2 linked regions of the Notamacropus eugenii genome follow. Each later gene encodes a partner of the first gene's protein in a complex. Links are inferred from orthologs where the notes say so. Each region holds a gene or a part of one and is shown on either strand. Other genes may lie near its edges.

Evidence for each region. The genes of interacting proteins can lie anywhere in the genome.
Region 2: TAF1C (region 1) and UBTF share a complex: the UniProt entries of both Homo sapiens proteins name them as parts of the pol I pre-initiation complex. The link is inferred for Notamacropus eugenii from reciprocal best matches to the Homo sapiens genes TAF1C and UBTF.

The regions. Positions count from the first base shown.
Region 1 is NC_092872.1:697,982,812-697,990,653, reverse strand, and holds the start of TAF1C (TATA box-binding protein-associated factor RNA polymerase I subunit C), read left to right. Parts: upstream 1-4,837; 5' UTR 4,838-4,918; coding exon 4,919-5,125; intron 5,126-5,817; coding exon 5,818-5,914; intron 5,915-6,299; coding exon 6,300-6,397; intron 6,398-6,492; coding exon 6,493-6,582; intron 6,583-6,707; coding exon 6,708-6,781; intron 6,782-7,110; coding exon 7,111-7,349; intron 7,350-7,626; coding exon 7,627-7,743; intron 7,744-7,842. UniProt on the Homo sapiens protein: Component of the transcription factor SL1/TIF-IB complex, which is involved in the assembly of the PIC (pre-initiation complex) during RNA polymerase I-dependent transcription.
Region 2 is NC_092873.1:349,812,788-349,820,715, forward strand, and holds the start of UBTF (nucleolar transcription factor 1), read left to right. Parts: upstream 1-4,916; 5' UTR 4,917-5,046; intron 5,047-5,360; exon of another isoform or gene 5,361-5,489; intron 5,490-6,646; exon of another isoform or gene 6,647-6,763; intron 6,764-7,928. UniProt on the Homo sapiens protein: Recognizes the ribosomal RNA gene promoter and activates transcription mediated by RNA polymerase I (Pol I) through cooperative interactions with the transcription factor SL1/TIF-IB complex.

The sequences.
Region 1 (7,842 bases):
TTTCAGGTCACTTAGGTTCTCCATCTTGTTTGTTCCATAGACCCCTTGGGCAGTCTGGCGAAGCCTAGGGATCCTTTCTCAGAACTGTGTTTTAAATTGCATTGAATATGAAAACCATTTTATATTGAAATATTATAATTAACATAATTATATATTGCATCATACATATAAAGGAAACAACTTATATTGAAATAAAGGTAATTTTTTTCTTTACCCATACAAGTTCATGAAACCCTTGAAATCCATCCATGGACCTTTTTAATAATAAATGTGGATTGATTCATGGACTTTGGCGAGGGCTGGGGTGGGGCGTTGGGGGGTGGGAGATAGACACGGCCTCAGGTTAAGAACCCCTGAACTAGTCCAACCCCACCCCGTTTTACAAATGAGGAAACTGATGTCCAGAAACACGAAGTGATTTGTCCAAGGTATCGGTGTGAACAGAGGTGGGAATCGTGACACCTGGTTTCTAATTAGGTAGCATTTATTAAGCACCATCTACTACAGTGCGAGGCATTGCGCTGAACTGGGGATACTAGAAAAGCCCCCAAACTTCCCTACTTTCAAGGAGTTCCCAATCTATCGGACTTTCTCTATCTGGTTGAATGAAGAATGAATGAATGAATGAATGAATGAGTGAATGAGTGAATGAATGAATGAGTGAATGAGTGAGTGAATGAGTGAATGAATGAGTGAATGAGTGAGTGAATGAGTGAATGAGTGAATGAATGAGTGAATGAGTGAATGAGTGAATGAATGAGTGAATGAGTGAGTGAATGAGTGAATGAGTGAATGAGTGAGTGAATGAGTGAATGAATGAATGAATGAGTGAATGAGTGAATGAATGAGTGAGTGAATGAGTGAATGAATGAGTGAATGAGTGAGTGAATGAGTGAATGAATGAATGAATGAGTGAGTGAATGAGTGAATGAATGAGTGAGTGAATGAGTGAATGAATGAGTGAATGAGTGAATGAGTGAGTGAATGAGTGAACGAGTGAATGAATGAATGGAGGGACACTTACAAGCACTCACGGTGCACAAAGCACCCGGTTGAGCGCTGGGGGATCCTAATAGCTCAGAGATCTAAAAAGGGGCGGGGTGTGGCGGCAAGGGCTTGGATTAAATCAATCAGTAAATTGACCGTTCGCTCAGTCACCTTCGGTGTGCCAGGCACTGTGCTAAACCCTGGGGAAATGGCAAAAAATAGTGCCTGCCCAAGGAGCTCCCCATCTAATCGTGACCACACACGACAGTCGCCTCTAACTCCAGCTCGATCGCGATCTTACGCGCGTCGTGACTTTGGACAAGTCTCCTCTCTTGGACCGGCTTTCCAGTGCTTTGTAACAGCAAGGCGAGCAGGGACGCAAGGTGCGGGAACGTTTCGGGGCCAGCTACAAAGCGCCAGAGCACCCTCTCCCCTCGGACAGTCGGGTTATTAAGAAAGTCCCTACCGTCCAGCTCCGCGTTTCTCCTGAGGCCTTGGGATGGCCCCCGCGGGCCACCATCCACGCGGCTGACAAGGGGGCGGGACCAACCCTGCACTGAGGATAATGGCGGCTCCTATTGGGGGAATGAGACTAAGGGGGCCGCCATATTTAGTAAGGCAGCTCTCTCCAGGAGGAGGACTTCCGGGGATCGGGTTTGGGGCTCTGGCTCTGGAGGATCCTGGGAAATCTCTTGGTCCCGCACATGCGCAGTGAGTGAGTCGTCAGTTTCTTTTTGTGTGTGGGCGTTTTTCTTCGTTTCCCACGTGTCTGCCTCGGGGTGGCTGGTGAGCCGGCTCTCGTGGGTACCAGTGGGCCCGTCTCGGCTGTCGGGGGATGGAGGCACCACCGCCGTTCTACACCGAAGGAGATGAAGAGGTCTGAGTAATCGCGGCTCCTTTCTCTGCTGGGTGGGGGGGTCATTAAACCCCCTTTCACAGACTGGGAGAGTGGGGAGGGGCTGAGCCTGGGGTGCAGCCCCGGCCTCCAAGTCTGGTACTGAAACGGTGTTCTCGACCCGCTTCCCAGGACCGGTTGGACTAGGGTTTGAATCCCAGACCCGCGACTGATGAGCCCAGGGACAGCGGGTGAGTCTCCTTCCCCTTGTAGGCTTGACTTTTCTGAAAGATGTAGGAGAAGGTTGTACTGGGCGGCCCTAACGTTCTCCTTCACAACCTGCCCCTTCCCTCCTTTTCCAGGATCCTTGCACTCCTTTTATCATATTCCCCTCCGAGTACTCTGCGATCCAGTGATGCTGGGCTCCTGGTGGTTCCTAGAGTGCAGCACGCCATCTCCCGACTCGGGGCATCTCTCCTGGCTGCCCCCCTCGCTTAAAATTCTCTCCTTCCTCGTCTCTGCCTCCTCCCCTGACCTTCTGCAAAAGCCTTTCCCAGCTTTCCTTAATATTGGTTAATTATCTCCAGTTTCTCCCTCTCCTCCTTCTCCCTCTCTCCCTCTCCCTCCCTCTCTCCCTCTCTCCCTCTTTCTCCCCCCTCTCCAGTTGGCATGGTGTCTCCCCCATTACACTCTGAGGTCCTTGAAAGCAGGGACTTTTACTTTTCTTGGGAGCCCCAGTTCTTAACTCAGTGCCATGTACTTATTCGTACTTGACCTGACTTGATTCCCCATCCCGCCTCTTTCTGCCACGCTGGCTGTCTCAGGTCTCATAACCAGACCTGTTCTGGGTAGAATACAACCCCGGTTCTATTTAATCGCATTCTCCCTAGATATGTCAGGTTTTTATGTCCCCACTTCAGGCATGCTGCAGCCTAATTCATCCCTTTCATTCTACCTCCTGTCTTCAGGTTCCTCAAACTTTGTCATTTAGTCTCACTTCCTGACCTCTCAGTTCCTCACCATCATTGACTTTCACCATTCCACTTCAGCTACACAGGGATTGGGTCAAATATTATCATTCCATGGTTCCCCCAGACTGGATCACTCAACCCCACAAACAACCCTTTACCCCACAAAATAGACTATGTTGTTGTTCAGTCATCCAACTCTTTATTACCCTGTGGACCAAACTGTCCATGGGGTTTTCTTGTCAATTATACTCCAGTGGTTTGCCATTTTCTTCTCTAGTGGATTAAGGCAAATGGGATAAGAGACTTGCAGAAGGGTCACTCAGCTAGTAAGTATCTGAGGTCAAATTTGAACTCAGGTCATACCGACTCCAGGTCCGGTACATTATTCACTGAGTCGTCTCACTGCCCTTAGGAATTCTAGGAATACTATGCTCCAGACATTGGTCATTGAACCCATGGGAATTGAGATCACCAAATAAGAGTGTGTAGAGAGAAAAGAGGGTCAAAGAGAGATCCTTGGGATACAACACAGTGGTTATTTTGCGAGTGATCTTTCAGCAAAGGAGACAGAAGCAATGGTCACAGAAGGAAGAGAACCAGAAAGGGAAAATAGTATTGTGAAAACCCAGAGGAAAGAGTTTCCAGGAGGAGATGGTGGTAAACAGTGCCAGAGTCTGCAGAGAGGTCAAGAAGGATGAAGACTGAGAAAAAGGTGTTAGATTTGGCATTTAAGAAATCACTGATGATTTTGGAGGGTTATTTCAGTGAAATGATGAGGCCTAGAGCTAGAATATAAAGAATTAAAAAGTGAGAGGAGAGGATGCAGAGGCACTGAGGACAGACAATCTAGGGGTTTCATTGAGAAGGGGAGGAGGTAGGAGGATTGCAGGGATGGTAGTTTTTGGTTTTTTTTAAGACCAAGGAAGACTTGGGAGAGTTTGTTAGTAGCAGGGAAGAAGCCAGGAAATAGGCTGCAATTGGAGATTAGAAAGAGTAGGTTGATAGTGGGACCACTAAGCTGGAAATGACAGAGGGAGATGGGATAAGGGTACCTATGGAGGAGTTGGCCTTGACAAGAAGAGCCTCATCTTCATCCCAGACTGGAGAGAAGGAGGGGGATGTTTGTTGAAAGGATGTGAGATGGGGAGGAGGGGAGCTCTCTGAGAATGGCCTCCGTTTTTTCAGCCTCTCAGTTGAAAGGGTTTGGAAAACAGTTGGGAAGCTTGAGAAGAGAAGGTTTGGAACAGCCGCCCAGGAGTGGGATAGAGAATCAGTTAGGAAGGATTTTAAAGGAGTGTCTTGTAGCATTGGGGCAGCTAGGTGGCATAGTGTGCCAGACCTGGAGTCACAAAGACTCTTCTTTCTGAGTTCAAATTTGGCCTCAGACAATTACTAGCTTTGACTTTTGGCAAGTCCTTTAACCCTGCTTGCCTCAGTTTTCTCATCTGTAAAATGAGCTAGAGAAGGGAATGGTGAACCACTCCAGAATACTCCAGTATGTCTGCCAAGAAAACCCCAAATGGGATCACAAAGAGTCAGACTGAATAACAACAACAAAAACTTGTAGCATTTAAGGCCTATCTGAGCTTAACTAGCAGAAAGCTGTAGTGGATGCAGTCTGCAGTTTTGTAAAGACCTCCAGCTTTATTCAGTAGCAGAAGGGGAGAAGGAAGCAGATGGTGGAGGCGATCCAGGATTGGGGTTGATCCCCCAAGAAGATAATGACTTTCCCCTTTGGATCACACATAGGTAATGCTTTGCATCTCTTAATGTACCTGTTCAACATTGTTCGTTTTTGTTACTTTTGTGTCTTATCCTAGACTTGAGTTTCATGAGGGGAGCGATCAGAACTGATTTAAATCATTTCTCCCTCAAAGAATAGCACGGTGGATGCCCTGCCTGTGTTAGGTGCCCAATGGAAATCTGCTGACTGAATAAATTGTGCTCAGAGGGGAAACCAGAACCTTCAGCACGTGAGCCCTGCAGACAGACTCCTGTGACAGAGAGTTTTGCTGAGGACAGACTTGGTTTTGAATCCCTTTTTACTCCCCTGTTGCCCCTTCTCTCAGGCTTGTGGCCCCATGAAAGCTTTTGTGTAGTGTTCCACTGATTAGAGAAAGAAAACATGTCTTTCTCATCTTTGTTTCATAGGAACCGAGACCTGAGAATTGGACACGAGCCCTGCACGCAGATGGATTTCCCTGACAATCTCTTTCCCACGTTCTTTTTGCCTGGCCCCCCTGGCCTGAATGATTCCCCTGGCTTGTATCTGGCCCCTGCTTGGAGTGACTGTATGCAGCTGCTGAAGCCCCCCCAGACCCAGGATCCATCGGTAGGAGCAGCCCCAGAGCCCTTTCTGGGGAACTGTTGTCTGGACAGTTGGTAGTTGGTACACAAGGTGCTAGTCACTTCTGCTTGGCCACAGGGATGTCTGATGTCCTGGGCACCCCAGAGACTTGAGGAACTTCTCATCCTTAGTTCCATAATAAAAGGAGAATAGTATTACCTGTGCTCTCTAGAACCTCATCAAGATCATAGATTTGGACCTGGGAGGGACCTCTGAGGTTGTCTTTATTTTACAAGTAAAGAATCACAGACATCAAGTGGCCTACTAAGTGTCAAAGCTGGGTTTTGAAAGCGGGTCCTCCGACTCCAGATCCATCGCTAGTTCACACCTTCCCTAGAGGGACAGGAAATGTTTAGATGTAAAGGATTTGATCTAGTTCAGCATTAATAATTTACAAGAACTGAATGGGTCCTCCACCCTTTAATCTAGAAGTATAAGGGATCTGAGAGGCCACAGAGTCCAAATCCCTCATTTTACAGATGAGGAAACTGAGACCCAGAGAAGAAAGATGACTTTCCTCAGATCACTCAGGTAGTAAGTGTCAAAGAGGGTATTGGAATCCAGGTGCTCTGACTTCAAAACTGATGATCTTTCCACCCTACCACCCTCTCCCACAAAATGGAGATTAACCTTGATACTACAAGTGTGGTCTACTGGAGTCTTTCCTTGTCCCCCAGGTTAACCCCCCCCAGCATGAGACATCGTATGTGACAAAGTGGGGAAGATGGAAGTCTGACACTCCTGGACCTCTGCCCTTCCTGCGCCCTGGTCCTGGTGAGGGGTCCTCTTTTTCTGTTCCTACCCCAACCCTACTTGCTGCTTTCTGACAACCCACCAAGTCCTTCCTCCCACCCTATTTTATTGGGGTACAGCCCCTGGATCCCAGCCTAAAGCTCCTTCTACGGAAGTTTCATTTAGCAGCAGCTGTTTGAACCACAGGCTCTCATCTCAAAGCCCAGTGTTGTCAGATATACATGTTTCCTACCATGGACAAGGAAATTAGAATGCTCCTACCAGATTCCTGGGATTGCCTCTTAGACTTTTATCTACCTTCTTAGGACTTCCTCCTCAATGTATTCTCAGACTTCCCTCCCAGCTCAGCTCCCTTTGCCAAGAACCTTGGGCCCCTTCTCCCTAATCTCCCTAATTTTCCCTTCAGACCTCTGGAACCCTGAGCTGACCCCCCGAGATTTGCTCTTCCAGGGGAGACTGAGGCGTCCATTTGGGGCCAAAGCGACAGTAGATGTTATGGAGCAGGTAAGTGGGCATTGGGTCTTTTGAGGGTTACTCTGGGCTCTGATCTTGGCCCTTGCCACATGTGGTCACTGTCCTTTTCTTTGTCCCCCTCTCAGCTCAACCAGTTCTTGTGGGATCATGGGGACATTGCCTTTGGGCCCCTAGGAAAGCTGCTGCAGGAGGACTTTAACCTGGGAAAAGCAAAGGTAAATTTGACGATTGGACAACTGGTAAAAGTGACCCCTGGCTGGCTGCAGTTGACCCCTAGTGACACAGGGAAGTGATGGGCAAACTGGCCAGAGGCAAGAAGTAACTGAAGCTTTCTCTCCAGAAATCCCGCAAGGACAGGACGGTGATGAATGCAGAACGGTTGCTCCAGGACCTCAGTGGACACCAGCCCAAGGGGCAAGTGACCCAAGGAGAAGAAGGGGGCGTACTGTTAGTCAAAACTGTGGGGTTCTAGGATTGGGAAGAAAGGAGAGTCAAGAGGTGGGATCAGCTGTCTACCAACTTTCTTCTCTGGTCACCCTCCTATGCTAACTTAGTGGGTACAATGGTAGCCCTGGGTTTGAGTCCCAGCTCTAAGCCTTAGTTTCCATATTGTAAAATGGGGATGATAATCCTTACACAACCTACTTTGAAAGGTTGCTGTAAGAACAGTTGCTTTATGATTTGTTCAGTGTCCTGGAAAGGGTGATCTGGTATTATTTTTAATGGGATCTTTCATCTCCCAGGTGCCCCTGGGCCCACTTGAGCACCCGTCAGCGACGATTCTCCCTCCTGGGGGGCACAGTGCTGGCTGAGGAAGTGGAAGGTCTGCTTGGGGGTTTGCTGCATGAGGAGCTGGAGACCCGCTGGAAGGGGCTACTGCTGGATGAAACTTCTACAGGCGGGGCTCTCGCTTGGGTCCCAGGGGCTAAACCCCATGTTGGGCAGCTGGTCTACCCTACTGGGCAAGCCTACAACCAGCTGAGTATCCTTCTGTGGGAAGGAGGAAGGAGACTGGCTTATCCTCTCTGACCAGGGACTTATTCCCTGATAGGGGGAAGGAGAAGGGTACAGGAGGCCTGGGAGGGATCAGTTGTAGAGCTAATGAGCCTGCAGTGAGCTGGTCACATGTAGAATGCTTGGTGTGTGATCCAAGTGCCTGGGCTGGATTTCAGACTCTAAGTGGCTTAGAGTAAATGGTTTCAAAGTTCCCTTCTAGACCTTGATCCTAAATTTGAAGACTGCCTTAACTGGCCTCTCAGACTTCCAGAAGGTAAAACTGTTCAGCACCCGCAAACCCCAGGCTGTTGGGGACCCAACCCAAATCTTGCTCCAGGGACCAGTCCGGCAGGTGGTGACCCGCACAGTCCAGGGGGAAGGTGAGACCCGTAAACATCTGGTTCAGTGGCCCCATTTTCCATTCCCCCCCCACCCCAGCCTGGACTGATTGTCAGGGATGCTTCCTGATTTAGCTCCTG
Region 2 (7,928 bases), on another chromosome or scaffold:
AAATGAATTTTCCACAAAGACACCATGAATATCTACAAGAAATTTTTAAAAAATTAAATCACTGGAGGAAAGAATTGGAAGGAGAATTAATAGATTAAGACAGAAAGTAGCAAACTTACTCCCTGAAAACTAGAATGGACCAAAAGTCAATGTCTCCAAAAGACAACAAGAAATATTAGAACAAAATAAAAACATTGAAAAAATTGAGAAAAATGTAAGCTGATATAAAAAAAATCTGACTTGAAAAAGAAGTCAAAGAGAGAGAATTGTCATGTCGTTGGACTCCCTGAAAACCATTATTTTTTTTCGTAGGCTAGACACAATATTTTAAGAAACTATAAATGAAATAAATAAACGAACAAATAAATGAATGAATAAATGAATGAAAACTGCCCAGATTTATTGAAAGAACAAAGGAAGAAAGAAGAAAATCTACTAATCACCTCCTGGAAAAAAAAAATATCAAAAGGATAAATCCCAGGAGTTTCATAGCCAAAATCCAGAGCCTCTATATCAAAGGAAAAATATTGCCAGCATCCAAAAAGAAACATTTTGAATACTAAAGAACCACAAACAGGATCACACAAGACCTGGTAGCTTTCATAATATATGGAAGATGTTGGAACATGATATTCCAAAAGGAAAAAAAAAATGGGACTTATAACCAAGAATAATTTACCCTGCAAAGCTGAATATAATCCTATGGAGAGGGAAAAGGTGGAAGGATTTTTTTTCTCTCATGTTTCAAGTATCTCTGATGAAAAGATTAGAGCCAAGTAGAAATTTCGAAATATCAGCATGAGTCCAGAAAAACCTAGAAAACTAAATTTAGTTCAGCAAATGGAAGGAGTTGTATAATGATACAGTACTGAAGCTCCAATAGGAGAAGACATTTACCTTCAGAACCTCAATGTCTTCAGAGTATTATATAGCAGGAATTAAATTAGAAAAAGAAGGGCCTGATGGTAGATTGATTCTGTTCTAAAGGTTTTAAGAAGGAAAAGAGTAAAATAAAAGGAAATATACTAGTGTAGAAAGGAGGAAGAAAGGGGTGGAATTTTATATTCCTTATAATTGTTACACATTTAAAGAGCACACAAACATGGAGCGAGAGGGATGGGCATCAGCTACACCTTACTTTTATTTGAAACAAAGGTGGGTTGAACACACAATACAATTTAATGTAGAAATACATTAAACTCAATAGGGAAACAAGGGTGGGGGAGGGTGGTGTATAATTTGAGGTTAAGGGGAAGGATAATAGCTGGGAGAGAACAGTTACAAACAAAACAAATTTCCTGATCCTAAGACAGTATGGGAGGGATGTAACGGGGTGGGGGGGGGGGGGGCGGTTGGGGGGGGGGGGGGAGAAAAGCAAAGAGCTGCTAGAATCAAAGGGTGTGTTCAGCAACTGGGGAATGCCTAAATTCTTATTACTCTGTAAAAAAAAAATTACAGAAAAGCAAGATTTCAGAGAAATCTGGACAGCACAGACTAATGTAGAAACAAGACAATGATTTGTACAAGAACAATAATATTACAAAGGAAAACAATTTTGAAAGGCAGGAACTCTGATCAAAGCAATGACCAACCATATCTCTTAGAGGACCTGTGAGAAAGCATGTTACCCATCTCCTGACAGAGGTAATGGACTAAAGGTGCTGAGGCATACATTTTTGGATGCGGTCACTATGTGAATTCATTTTGCTTGACTATGTTTGTTCATTAAGGAGTTGTTTTTATCTCTGTGTGTATTTTTAATTGGGATTAGGGATGGAACTCTATGGGGGCAATAAAGCTTAATAAAAGTGATTCTTTTAAAAAAGAGAGCCATTGAAACTTTTTCTAAAAATTTGCAGAAAAGAAGGAAGTTTATCAGAAAGCATAGACAAGCCGGTTTTGAAATTAGCATGTGAAATTTATTATGTACTTTTAGAAACAGTATAAAATGGAGATTCATGGTTTCATAAACAAGATCTTTTTTTTTTATTTTGTTACGTGTATGGAAACTCACTTTTTTTGCCATTTAAGTTGAGGAAAATTAAAACAAAAAATTGATTTTCAAAAATCTACATATTTTGCTAGAATATTTTCTAGAGTACATTTTGCCTGCCTTTTTCCATTGCCTCCACAAACAAGTTGGTCACATAGCAGGGATTGTCTGGCCGGATCCCCATGCCCACCACAACAAAAATGGAAATGGAAGAAATTAAAGGGAAAGAAAAGAATTGTCATCATGCTCTAAACCCTACCTTGTATTTTACGTGTGTTCATGTTGTATCTATCTCCTCTAGTGGAATATAGGTTCCATGAGGGTAGACAGTTGTGCCACTTTGAAAAAGAAAGAAAAGCAAGCTTTGCTTCTCCAATGCTATTCCACATAATAGAACCTTAATCAGTCTTTGTTTAAGTGAATTGAAACATTTCCAGAGTTCACTGAGTCTACCCTATCTAGACTTTAATGCAGCTAGGTGAAGAAGTGAGTGAGTGGCCAGAATGCAGCTGAAATGAGTCAGGAAAGTTTGAGTTCAAATTCGGTTTCATGTACTCAATGCATGACCCTGGGCAAGTCCATTAACTTCTACAGGGTCTCTCCTGTTTCTCATTTGTAACATGAGGGAGTTGGGTTTGATAGGGTCTAAGGCTCCTTCCACCTCTAAATCTAGGAGCTTTTGAATGAAGTCAATCTGTTGATTAACTGTTTTTACTATTATCTTACTTCATGCCTTTCAAGCCAGGTTATCCTGGGGGTTGGGGAGGGGGTGAGTAGGGAGAAGGTTTGCTAGGGGAAGAAGGCTCGATGAAGCTGGGTTCCAATCTGCCAGGTCTCTTGTATTCACTTCCTAACCTCAAGAGGAAGGCAGTGGACATAAACCAAACAGCCTGCTTCCAAATGGGAAGGGAGCCATCTCTGACTTTTGTCAGTCAAGGAATAAAAACTCCATAATTGCCATTCCTGTAAATGGGAATAACCCAGCTTCATTCCAAAGTACTTTACATAATGGTGTCTTGGCCCAGCAGCACGTAAGTGCAGGCTAGGAGCCAGGTCTAATTCGGGAGAGGGAAATCTTCCTGAGCCTCAGTTTCCTCCTGGACCGTAGGGGACGCGAGAAGGGAGGCCGATTGCGTGGTCACTTCCAAGGGCCCTTTCAGCTGGAAATACCATGCCAGTAATACACCGGTGAGCGCACAGAACATCCATCTACCGTTGCTACATTGTCACCATCCACAGACACTGATTCGGTTGTGCTCCAGGCACAGCGAATGTGGATACAGGGATATCCTAAATGAAATAATCCCTAGCGGAGAATGTAGCACTCAGAAGCACCAGTTTTGGCCTGGGCTTCCCCCCCATTATGTAAGCAGGCAGATGTGTGATGAGGTTATGCTGGGAACGTGTTTTGAATCCTCCCTGGAAACAGGAGGGAATACACAAGCGTCCGGCCATCCCCTAAACACATGCTTTGTGGGTGAGAAAAGCAACTGTATCCGCACCAGAGTGTGCGTGAGAGTGCAGGGCGAGCCTCGCTGCCCTCCGCCCGAGGAGAAAGGCCATCCCACCGCCCACCCCGGCCCAGGCACCAGTACAAGCCTCGTGGAGGAGCTCCCCTCCTAGAAGGTCCCTCGGGTTCCCAGGGCTGAAAGAGCCATTTCCTCCGCCGAGGAGACAGAAAACCAACCGGCCAGCAGAAACCTCCTGCAGAGGAGGAGGGAGGGCCCAGGCGCCCCCCACCCCCTGCAAGTCTCCGATAAACCCCAGGCCCCGGAGGGACAGTTAAAGCTGAGAAATGCCTCCTCCTTCTCTCCCCGCCCCTGACGCAGGCCTAACAGGAAAGAGGCCGCCTAGGAGTAGAGGGGGATCCCGGCCAGCTTCGGCAGGCGGGGGCTGGGGCTGCCTGGGTCCCTCCCGCGCCTCTCGCGCCGGGCGGGGGTGGGGGGGTTGAGACTGCTCCAGCCGCCCTTTCTCCGGGATGACCCAGGCCTTTTTGACAAGCAAGCTGATCCCGTGGTGGGGATTGGCTAGCCGGACCGTGACGCCCATAACAACAAAGGTGGAGTTGGAAGAAATTAGATTAAAGGGGAGAAAAAAAATTAAAGGGGGATCTCGCTGGGGCGAAAAGGAGACAGACCGAGAGGGAGAGAGAGGAGAGAAGGCCGATCCAGCTCCCCATCTGCACCTCTCCCCAGCCCTTTCCCCGGAGCCCCGCCTCGCTCCTAGCTCTCCCTTCGCTCTCGAGCTCGGGTTTGGGGGTTTTTTTCGCCTAGGGGTGGGAGGTAGGGGGAGTCTTCTCTCTGGTTGGTGACAAGCCTCCCTCTTCAGCATCATCGCCCACCCTAGGGGAGAACTTTTGGAGAAAATCACGCGTATTACGAATTCCACGGAGGGGCATAAAAACCAGAAGGCCCTAAAGGAACAGAGCTGGAACCGAAGGGGGGGGTGCTTTTTTGTTTTTCTGGAAATATAAGAAGAGAATTTAGACATATCATACCCCCCCCCTTTCTCCTCCTCCTCTTCTCTTGGCTTCAGTGTTGCAAAAGCAAAGAGCAATAAAAAAAAAAAAACGCGCACACAGACACACACAGAGACACACACAACACCCTAGTCGCGAGAAGGGAGAGTTGAAAAGAAGCAAGAGGGAGAGAAGCCAGGGAGAAAAGAGAAGGGAGGGAGGGGTGGTGTGCGGGGAAAAGAGAAGCAGGTTTCCTAATAAATCCACCTCCGTCTCTCTCCCCCCCCACCCCCCTCCCCTCTTCTCCAGCCCAGGGTAGGGAAGAGAGGAGCCGGAGAGAGCAGATGGAGGAGTGGAGTCCGCTGTAGGGCTGTGGAGCTTGGCTGGAGGATGGAGGAGCCGCCAAGCGCCCGGCTGATTGGAAGAAAAAAGCAGAGCGATGGAGGCGGGGGTAGGAGGACGATTTCTCTGCGGGGACTGGCGGCGGAGTCCACGCCCGGGTCGGGCGCTGCAGAGCTTGGCTAGCTTTCAACCAGCGCTCCCCGGCACCAGCCCCACTCGCCCCCCACCCCCGGCCCTCCCGGCGGCTCCGCAGGTGAGTGCGAGAAGGAAGGGGAAAGCCACAAAGAGGGGAAAAGTGGTGGGGTTTTTTCCTTTTTCCAGCCCCCCAGCGGGAGGGGAGGGGTCGGTGGGGGGAGATTGAGGGAGCTCGGCCGAAGAGGAGGGGGAAAGGAGAGGCCGGGGAAGGCCTGGGAGGCGGCGGCGGTGGGGCTGGGGCACTGACAGGGCGAGCGCTCGGAGCGCTGCTGCGCTGCGCCGGGGCGGGCGGACGGAGCGGGGCGGGCGGAGCGCCGCGCGTGTGGCTCGCCATTAGCCGTCCCTCCGCTTCGCCATCGCGGGCTTTGTCTGGCGACTCGCTCCCCTGGCGTCGGCTGCAGCGGTAGCTGCGGATCGGCTCTACGTCCCGCTCCCTCGCCCAGCCACCGCTCCCCGGATCCCCCGCGGCCCTCGACCCCACACCTAGATACACGGAGCCGGGTAAGGAAGCCCTTGCGTCGCCGTATTTCAGGGTAATGGGGGAACGGAGAGAGGAGCTGCGGGAGGCGGATCTCCATGCGCTCGGGGAAGGCCCGAGCGAGCCATGCCGAGCCGAACTGAGCCTGCTCCTTGGAGGCAGCACTTCAGACCCGATTCCCGCGGCGTTTCCGGGGTGTAGAGAGAAATGGAAAAAAATGGGGGGGAAGGGAGGTTTGCTGTGATTTTTTTTTTTAAACAAGATTTTGGGACAGTGTTTTTCTGAGAAGGCGAGCGAAGCCCGGCGAGAAAGGGGAGAAAGCGGTAGCCGCCGCTCTGCGGCCAGCTCGTTCCCCGGCCCCGCAGCGCCGATTTGGGGGTGAAGGTAGTGGTAGTAACGAGGAGCTAGCAGAGGGAAGAGGGCACGGATTATGCCCCGGGAGGTAGACGGAGAAGCAAAATTTCTGTGCCAGCTCTGCAGAAAATAGATTATGGAGATTCCTTTGCTCCTTCCCAGGGTCAGGGAGTCCCCTCTCCTGGGCCCGGGCCTTGCGCCCTCCAGCTCTGGCCGAGGCTGCTAGTTCTCCTACGGGTCTGGGGAGGTCGCTCTCGCCGCCAGTTCACTCCTTCTCCCCGGCCCCGATCTCCACCGCCATCCGGGCGGCTGCGTGTCTCTTTCCCTCGGCCCCCCCCTAGCCGCCACCAGCCACCGCTGCCGCCGCCATCTCCCCCCCCTTACTTCCCTCCGCCTCGGCCGCCCGGGTCCCCCCCAGCTCCCCGCCCCTCCTCCCAGCTGCCCCCCGTGGAGCCCGCCCGGGCTGGGCTGTGGGAGGGAGAGGAGCCTTCGGGGCGGGCGGGCGCTCGCTCCCCGGGGGTCGGTGTGCGCTCTACGGGGAAGGACGCGCTCGCTGCCCCGCTTCTCCCGCCCCCCCTCCCCGCTCCTCCTCCTCCCTTCTCCCTCCTCCTTCCCGCTCCGGCGGCGGAGGCTGCAGCGGCGACGGGGGGTGTGCTCGCTGAGCCCGGGGCCGGCCGGCGGGCGGGCTGGCTGCCTGCAGGCGGAGGGCGCTGTGCTTTGTGCTTTTCGCCGCGAGGAGCAGCAGCAGCAGCAGCCGTCGCCGCCGCAGCCACAGCCGCCGCCGCCCCAGCAGCAGCAGCAGCAGCAGCCGCCTCAGCAGCCGCCGCCCCAGCCGCGCTCGGAGGAGGAGGAGCTGCCGCGGGAGGGAGCTGCGGCTGTGCCCGGCAGAGCGGGGGAGGAGGGAGCCGCGGGAGCGGGGCGCCCGGACGCCGAGCTGCGCCCGGTAATCGCGGGACCAGGGCTGGGGAGGAAGAGCGAGAGCTTGCGCCGGAAGGCGAGATCGAGCAACGTGGAGGGAGGGGAGCGAGGGCCGAGCTCGGGAGGACGGCACCCCGGGAGCACGGAAGGGGAGAAAGGGCCGGAGAACGTGGGCAGGGGCCGAGGAGCTGGAGCAGGAGGACGGAGCTGGAGGCCGCGCGAGGGGGCCCGAGCCCCCGGGAGAAATCCTGCCCGGGGGGAGCTGGAGGAGGAGGAGGCTGGGGGGGAAGAGAACGCTGGGCAGACGGAGGAGGACGCGCGGGGCAGCCGGGCGCGGGGAGGCCCAGGCCGAGCCTGGCCGCGGGGCGGGGGAGCCCGCGTTCCTCCCGGGGCGGGAGCCGCAGTTCTCCCGGATCGCCGGAGGGGGCGGCGGGGACGGCGAGTCCTGTACGCCCCCGCCTGCCCGCCCGCCCGCCTCCCCGCCTGGCTGCCTCCCTCCCTTTCGGCCTTGGCTCGGCTCCCCGGGGGCCGGGGCGGGGGCGCCGCCCGGGCTGGGCCGCGAGGCCCGGGGGACGAGGAGGTGCTGACTCCGACCGCTGGGGCCGCGGCTGCTGCTGAGCCCGGCTCCGGATCGGGGGGCGGCGGGTTCCCCCGGGGCTGGGGGTAGGGGAGAGCTCCAGCTGCTCGGCCCGGGGCGGGCTGGCCCGGGCTGGCGGCTCGGGGAAGGGGGGGAGGGCGGTAGGAATCCGGATCCGGGTCCCCGGGGGCGGTGCGGCCGCGGCGCTCCGGGGCTGGCGGTGCCTGCGCAGCGTCCGGGTCCCCGCCGGGCTGCGGAGGCGGGGGGAGCAGGGAATGGGGGGGGCGGAGGAGGAGGAGACTGGCGCGCGCGCCCCTGTTCCCGCGGCGGCGCGCGCCCTTTACCCGCCCTTCTCCTCCCCCCTCTCCTCCGGCCACCCCCTCCTCCGCGCGTGGAGAGAGTTTTGTTTTTTTCCTTGGGGTGGAGCTCGCTGCACCCTGGAGCCCTGAGCAACCACACACGTGGGGGCCTGGGAGGACTCCTGCAAGCCTGCCCACCTCCCCTAGACGGAGCCCTGCTGCAGGGGTGGGCATAGAGTAGGGGGTAGTCCAGAGGGTGGGTGGGAAGTGTGGAGACTGCCCCCTTTCTTTCAGGGGGAGAAGCTGAAGGAGAG